Linked DNA regions of Drosophila melanogaster. The protein of the gene in region 1 purifies or fractionates together with the protein of each later gene. This does not show direct contact. Each region holds a gene or a part of one and is shown in the gene's direction. Other genes may lie near its edges. The genes, in order: mRpL18 and mRpS30.

Region 1 (3,158 bases):
ATCTTATCGGGCCCAAGAATAGTTTCCTTTTGTGCTTGTGTCTAGCCAAACGCCTCTCAGTGTTACGCATTTTGATTTCTATTTGAATTATTCCTTTGTCAACTGTTCGACTAACCCAACAACCCCCGCAAAAGCCGCCTTTGTGCCACAGGTTAGCAGCATGCGCACTGAAAATCTGTTGCTGCGAGACACCGCACTGCATTTTCGCGCGAATAATAATGCAGGAAAAACTCACGTCGTCAGAGATCTATGGCGACCTTCACTCGGTTCGAGATGTATTACATTGGGCACCTGAGAATCTTTCGCATCCGGACGGCGGGAACTTTCGTGCGTAACTGATTTTCGTCTCCACTGAAATCGCCAAGTGCAACAAGCTCAAAAGCAAAAGCACGCACAAAACGAGGGCGTTTGCCCCCAAACAAAGAGAGACAAAGCGAAAAAGAGCGAAGGAAAGGGCCCCAAAGTAGAAGTAGTTAGGCAACAGTCAAGTGGTTGACTAGAGATTGTGAAACTATCTTTATCAGTTAGCAAAAGTGCTTAGCCGAGCGCTTCCGTGTATAATGATCACGCTGGTTTGGTTTGATATGATAAGCATTTAAATTTGTGCGCCCAGCGTGGTGGGTTTGGGATCTTGGTGCTTTGTGCAAGGTGGTGAGTTTGAACAGTGTTCTTATCAGTTGCTCAATCTGGATTATTTTTGTAGATAATAGATGCCTTTGTTTACCTTTGTTAGGTATATGCTAACGGACGTAGAAACTCATCAACAAATATTTAAAAATAAAGTACTCTTATATTCCAAGAGTTGAACAGCTTAAAATGATAATTCCACAATTAACTGTGTCTTTAGTGCATTTAAAATGAAGTGCTCATAAAAAGGCATTTTTCTTAAGTAGTAAAAGCACCTTTTAAATCGATTCCTATACATTTTTAGCAATGGCTAATTTAAATTTTCCCGCCACCATTGGTGGGATTGGAACTGGTGGTCAGTTCTGGAACGTGGTGAAAAAAGGAGAAAGCGATGGCCTGATTTTGTTTATATTTATTGCGTGTATTTAGGTGAAAAATTTCAGGGTTAATTGCTATAATTAAGCTTACCCGCGCCATTGCCCGGATCGGCGGTGTATATCCCTCGCTGATCAGCCAGTTTATATTTCGCGCTGCAGATGCGGCGCCCACGTGCCCGGGACGCCTTAAATTGGAACACACGACCATAAACATTTCTACAAGTTCTTAATTTAACGAGTACGATATGTGTGTAGATATTTGGCCTATACGGTCTTTACATAACCGGCTTTTGTGGGCCGAATAAAAATCACTTTGCAATTTGGGACGCGCGCACTGCTTGCTTCTTCACCCAACCGCCACTTCTTCACCTCAGCAGCAATCTCATGGGCGTACGGGCAGGAGGCGCCGTGTTCACTTGGCGCATGTCTGAAGGGGGCGTTATTGTGGTGGGGAGCGGCGAAAGTTCCAAGGCCAATAGAATCTACAGAAACTAGAAATTTGAGGATAAACCAATCTGAAACAGCTGTTTTTTGCCATTTACATCCAACTGATGTTTGGACATTTTACAGCACCAATAAATCGTTTACCCACACTCAGTTCTGGCAGTCTGGTAACACTAAAGGCAGCTCAAAATATTTTATCGTGGTTTTGTAATTTCCACATAAATATCAATTAAACGCGCGCTTTTTTCGGGTTTCCATCGCAAAAATGTCTCGCAGTGCTCGCCCCCTCACCTCCGCCCGTGTACTGCACAAAATCAAGGAATTAACAACCCCGCAAGCCAGCACTGAATACGTGATCAACCGGAATCCACGGAACTTGGAAAGATTACGCATTGCCTACAAGCCGGTAGGCTATCATCTGGAGAAACCAGGTCGTTCCTACTGGCACACTTTGGAAATCAACACCAGCGGCCGCTATGTCAGCGGCGATGTCAAGCACTTTGAGAATGGAACCATCCTGAGTGCCAGCACCTCGGAATGGGCCATTAAACAGCAGTTGTACAAGACCAACGACACATCTGCGTTTGTAAATCTCGGCAGAGTGCTCGCACAGCGCTGCCTGCAGTCTGGGATCACGGAAATGACCTGCAACGTGGAGGCGGTACCGGGTAGCAAGCTGCAGAAGCTGCTTCAAACCATTCAGGATAATGGGGTGTCCTTCAAGGAACCCTCTCGCCTGCCCAACGAGCAGCCCTGGGATGAGAAGAGGCATGAGAAGCCCTGGGAGGTGTCGGAAGACGCACTGGAAGCACCCAAATCAAAATAACCAAAAGAAACCACACTTAGTTATCGTTTCGTTTAGAATAAACGTTGATTATTATTGCTAATTACAACAAATCATGTTAATTTATTCGTATTTGCCCTTGATGTCCTTCCAGAGTTTCTGCAAAGCGGGGAAATCTTGAGATTTGGCCAGGAAACTTTGCTTACATAACAGGATTATACTTACGCCTTTGTTGATGCCCTCGAAAATCGCAACCGACGTGACATCGAGAGCGCGCTCGAAGAAAAAGGCCGACGCGATGATGGCCACGGCGTAGGTGGAGGTGCGCTTGAACAGGGTGTTGTAGATAACCTTCATGTTGGCTAGATTTTTGTTAAAGACGTCCGATTTGTTCCCAATCAAACTTTTTCCACACGCCAAACTCACAGCTGATTTGTTAGGTTGAGTTGACAAGCAGTGTTGGAAACGTCCTGAATCTAAATACTAGTGTCACTCCGCCTATCGAAATTACGCATTAGTGCTTATTCTTGAAAAGTGTTTTTAATTGAGGTCGAAGGTGTTTTTTGTTGTCTTTGAAGCGGTCACACTGGTCGATGGGGCAAAAACAAACGATTTGTGAATATGCCAAATTACCAGGATATTTAGCGTAATTGGGCCTTATCTGCGTGGACCATGGACATAGGCACTATTGAGCTGAGCGTGGAGGCGCTGATAGGATCCCTGCTGGCCCTCAGTATCCTCTTTGCCTTCTGCCGCAGCCTGCTTTCCGAGGACTTTGTGAGCACCTTCAAAACACGTCACAGCTGGAAATCAATAAAAGTGTTGGAACAGGTGAGCGGATTCACTTGCCGCGAAAGAGATACCATAGGATACATGCCCTTCATTCTAGGCCTGCTTCTGCAATGTGTGCGAGATCCTGCTAACCC
Region 2 (4,694 bases), on another chromosome or scaffold:
ATTTTTATAGTCGAACATATCGTGATGACTGATACTGCCGTCGGTCTGGACCAAACCCTTGTCAATGGCCACCGTCTGGACGCGATACAAGCCCTTGGTCAATCCATTGACCACCTCGTTGATTTTGGCATTCTTTTCGCGCAACTTATTGGGCTGCTGGCCACGCGGCAGTAGCGACTGCAAGGGAGAGATGGGAATGTCGATGATTTACTGCGGCTGGCTAATACCACAACTATTGTACTTACGGGCAAAACGATATAGGCGTTGGGCAGCTTTTGCCGGATTTTCGTTACGTTCGCGAGCACACCCTCGGCCACTTCCTCCGCGCTGTTCCGCACATTATTGGTGCCCACATGGAGGACGACGATTTTGGGATTCACATTGTCCAGCGCACCGTTTTCGATGCGCCACAGTACGTGCTCGGTGCAGTCGTCGCGAATGCTGAAGTTAAGGCAGTGCAGCGGCGCAAAGTACTTATTCCAGGCCTCCGTGTCCTGGACGGTCTCGAAGATGCAGTCGCCGAGGAATATCACATCCGGATCCTTTTCGCGGCAATCGGAGATGAACCGGCGATGTATGCTGTGCCAACGCTTGTCGCCATCCAGATCGGGCAATGGGGTGGGCAGCACACAGGGATTCATTTCGTCGGCGTGCTCAGACTCAGTTGCAGACCAATATTGAGTTTTAGTTAAAGATTCCGATTCCTATTCCTATTTCGATTTCGATTCAGTTGCAGTTTCAGCATGCGGATGAATGAGGCATCGTCTGCGGCTTAGTCTTACCGGATACTTGGGCGTTCTGCTCGGCTTGCAGTGACAGCGTTGCAGTCGTGGACAAACAATTGAACTGATAGTCGCTAGCATAAACAACTCCGTACCGTTGTTTACTTTAATAAATCGTTTTTATGGCGAAGATTTTTTTTTTGTTTTTTTTTTTTTGTGTTTTAGGTTACCTCAACATTAACATCCGTAAATGTCGTAGAATTATGTGGCCACCCTCGTGTACATGGAAATTGCCAAGGATTTAAGGTTGAAAATTTTTATAAGTTTATTTTAATTTGGTGTAGAAAATCTACGATTTTCTTGGTAAGCGTTTATGTTTTCGTTTTTAGAGAGATGGTAGATGTCTTGGTATTTTTCCAGGGCTGGAAAGTGTTGTCTAGCAATGTTGCACTTGGCACAGCTGAAAAAGATGTGGGATACGTTATCGAAAACGTTACACGGTCACATATGTTACTGTTTGTAACGTGCATTTTATTCAAAATTGTCAAAAGCGTTATCGCAGAGAAGTCTGTTAATTATTTTGATCTCTGTTGATTTAAGTTTACAATTGTGATTTTTAAGGCATGTGCCTTTAAGCCATATGCCATTATTTCAAGGGGAAAATATACCAAATGAAACAAGACTATTTTTTAGCTTTTTCTAGACAGCTTAAAAAATATTACGATGATTTATAACTGATTTCAGAAATAAAAAGATTTGAAACATAAGCAAGTTAAATTTTGTACCCCTACACGTTAAATAGTAAAGGACTATGATTCATTATGAATTATTATTGAACTGCATAAATAGAAATTATACCATTACTTTCACTGGCATCGCAAAACTTTCCGTCGCTACCTTGGCGCAACCTATTCTGAATCCAGCGTGCGGTCACACTGCAGCAATGACATAACCTAGTTATTGTCAAAAAACTGAAGTCAATTCTATTCCTTCGAAAACATAAATCGTAACTTGCGTTAGGTTCGACGGCATGTTGAAGCTTAACCGTGTTCGCCATCTGCGAACGACGTACAAGCGCTGTTTGTCCGGCCAGTCGCAGCTGCAGCTGAATAGTACGGACGCAGAGCCGGCATATCCGGAGATTCAGGATCTGTCCTTCAAGGCGCGCAAGCAGAAGGATGCGGCCAACTGGCACGAGGAAATCCGGCAGGTGCCGACGGTGGAGGAGAAGATGATCAAGATCAATATGCCCCGCTATTACGGCTTCAAGGTGGTCGACTTCAACGACTCGAAAATCCCCTACAATGCACTGCCGCTCACGCAACATTATACGCGCACAGTGCTCGAGGATTTGCCATCTGAAACGGATAAGAAGGCACAGGCTAAGGACTCCGAGCAGGAGCAGGAGCAGCCGAGCGTGGATGGTCTTTTCAAGGCGGCTCGCGGGGATGTTATTGATGCCCTCGAGTTTGCCCACGACTACTACAAGTGGGTACAACGAGGTCCGCTTTCAACGAACCAAGTTCTCCGGCGAGTTTGTGGACAGTAGTTGGTCCAACTCACTTAAGAACTCGGATTGGTTGGAGTGGTCCCAGTTACAAGTTCGACCGTCTGATATTAATGTATTCATTCTCCTCCATTACCAAGCGTAGGCATCTGGAAAAGCAACACAACTCTGCCGAATCGAACCCCGTTGAACGTGAGCGCATCCTAACGCAGATCATTGTAGAACAGCTGAACAGAGCTCTGCTGCAGTCGCTCAGCGAGGAGTACAAGCACCTGGATGAGCTCGATGTCGACTACAATCCACGCCACGAAGCGTTCTGGGCCGTTGGCGGCGTAGATCCTCCCAAGAACGTGCAGAAATCGAAGAAGGGCCGGGAATGGCAAAAGGATATGGCAAACGAGAGCGTTGATCGGATGGTTCAGTATACGGGAGCGCCGTATCTTGCCCTACGCCATCGCAAGCAATTGACGCCGTGGAAAACGGAAGCGGAAAGCGAAAACCTCGAGCTGAGCAAACAGCTGCCCCGTTTCAAGCACGACCCGCGAACCCTCGGCTACAGCACCAAGCATCAGCACGCCACCAATGTGCCAGGCTATTGGCCCAAAGGAAATGAGAATAACTTCGGCCTGCTCTCATTTCAATCGCGTGCACACCTGCAGATCCGTCCGAAATCGTTCGGCGAGCAGGATCAGCTGGAGGCATTGCATTCGCTGGCGATTAAATCGTCATACGCCTGGCTTTTGGCCCAGGCGAACTACAATGGCTTCAACACCTACAACGAACTGACCTATCCCATGAACACTCAAACTGTGATCACGAACGGCAGGGAATGGAGCTTTTATGAGTATCAGCTTAATACGCTGCTGCTGCACGGCACAAACGTGGCGGAAAATCCCCGTGTCAACTTCTGTCGCGGTACAAAGCCACTTCCACTGTACGCCGAGATTTCGGCAAGCGGCAAGTGCGTTGATTTCAACGATAACGCACTGCGGCACCTGCTCAATTTCTATGCCAATGCGCCATCGATTCAGCGGAGCATTGGGGAGCAGCAGCCGTATGTTGCCTCCGACGTTTCCGCCTATGAGAACGCCGAACAGCGTGACTTTATCAATAAGACCTTCAAATATTTGGCATCAAACCGACCGCGACACTTGGAGCTGCCCGAAATCTACCTGTGGGAGAAGCTATACAAGATCGATAACAACAATCGTGCCATGGAGGCTAAGAGACGCTTCTTCGAGCTGGACATCAATCCTTGGCAGCGAACGCTGGACACACATGACAAGGAGTATGTTCCACGTGCGGTCCGACCAGACGTCCCTAAGAATAAGAACAGGTTCAAGAAGACGTACTACCCTTAAATGAATAAATATAAAACACTTCCTAAGGTTACACTTGTTAAAAATGCTGAATTTTTAATGTGAAATACTGGATTGCAGATTCGGAGCAACGAAACGGTGTACAAAGTTTCTTTAAACTTTGATTAACTCAATTTTCCGCAAACTTTTGTCAGTATGTTAATGATTTTTAATATAAATATTTTGTTAAATTTCAATTTAAATTCTATGCCATACAAAGTATATATATTTATTAACTTTGTTATGCTTGTGGTTAAACACTTCTGTAAATTTATAAGCTAGTCTTTTTTATCTTAAATTCTTTCAAATAGATATGATTATACAAATACCTGGAATTTTGCCAATTATTAGTGCTGATGATGCTAAAACTTGCCAATGCAATGCTTCTTATCATTATTTAATTGTTTATGCAGCACATATTTATTCTAGATTCCATTGTTTATTTCATTTATCAGCACTGCAAACATACCGAAGTTATCTCAAAAAGTGGGTAAAATGCGGTTACACTGCACCAGAACCATATTTTTCGAACGTAAAAAAGGTTTATAATGCTATAGTGTAGTTTAAATCTTTTTACCAAATCATATATTGTTTGAACATAATAGTGCACTAAGGTTTATATGATATTCCATATAAGTACACTTCAAACTCTTACTTAGTCTGGTAATATGTATGCATTAATTAATTACTTGATTATTTTATTATCCCATTTATTATAGTAGTTTTACATTTACGATAATAGCTTTATAGTCCACTACATCAAAGTTAGGATTGCTGAAAAAGTTACCACTTGTTGGTTATTTCGGTAACGTCCCAGCTAACCGTATGGTATGTTATAACGGCCGTGCGACGGTCACACTGGATCTGAATAGTTAGGCTCGAGTAAATAACCAGTTTGAGACTTTACGGTGGTTCGGAAACTCGTATCTGGCGCTTCGGTTGTCCAAAAAGGTAGAGCAGTAACCTGTTGCATATATATTTCTTTTTTTTTTGGTAATAGTGGAAAGTGTAGTGCAGACAAGTCGAACCCAACTGATATTGAGTCGAAATTCCGTTGGGCAAGTGCTGAAAAATCTTGAATATTGATCGTGGAGTATGTGGATACGG

What was found.
Region 2: the proteins of mRpL18 (region 1) and mRpS30 purify together in Drosophila melanogaster (affinity purification with mass spectrometry, with the first as the bait; one large-scale study listed by BioGRID). This does not show direct contact.

What each region holds. Positions count from the first base shown.
Region 1 is NT_033778.4:12,754,841-12,757,998, forward strand, and holds mRpL18 (mitochondrial ribosomal protein L18), read left to right. Parts: upstream 1-1,593; 5' UTR 1,594-1,713; coding exon 1,714-2,274; 3' UTR 2,275-2,333; downstream 2,334-3,158. Other genes in the region: Taz (tafazzin), read right to left, coding at 1,096-1,218; ox (oxen), read right to left, coding at 2,356-2,391, 2,458-2,589; Dgkepsilon (diacyl glycerol kinase epsilon), read left to right, coding at 2,905-3,063, 3,122-3,158.
Region 2 is NC_004354.4:15,784,420-15,789,113, forward strand, and holds mRpS30 (mitochondrial ribosomal protein S30), read left to right. Parts: upstream 1-1,627; 5' UTR 1,628-1,752; coding exon 1,753-2,210; intron 2,211-2,374; coding exon 2,375-3,590; 3' UTR 3,591-3,869; downstream 3,870-4,694. Other genes in the region: Paf-AHalpha (Platelet-activating factor acetylhydrolase alpha), read right to left, coding at 1-177, 246-641.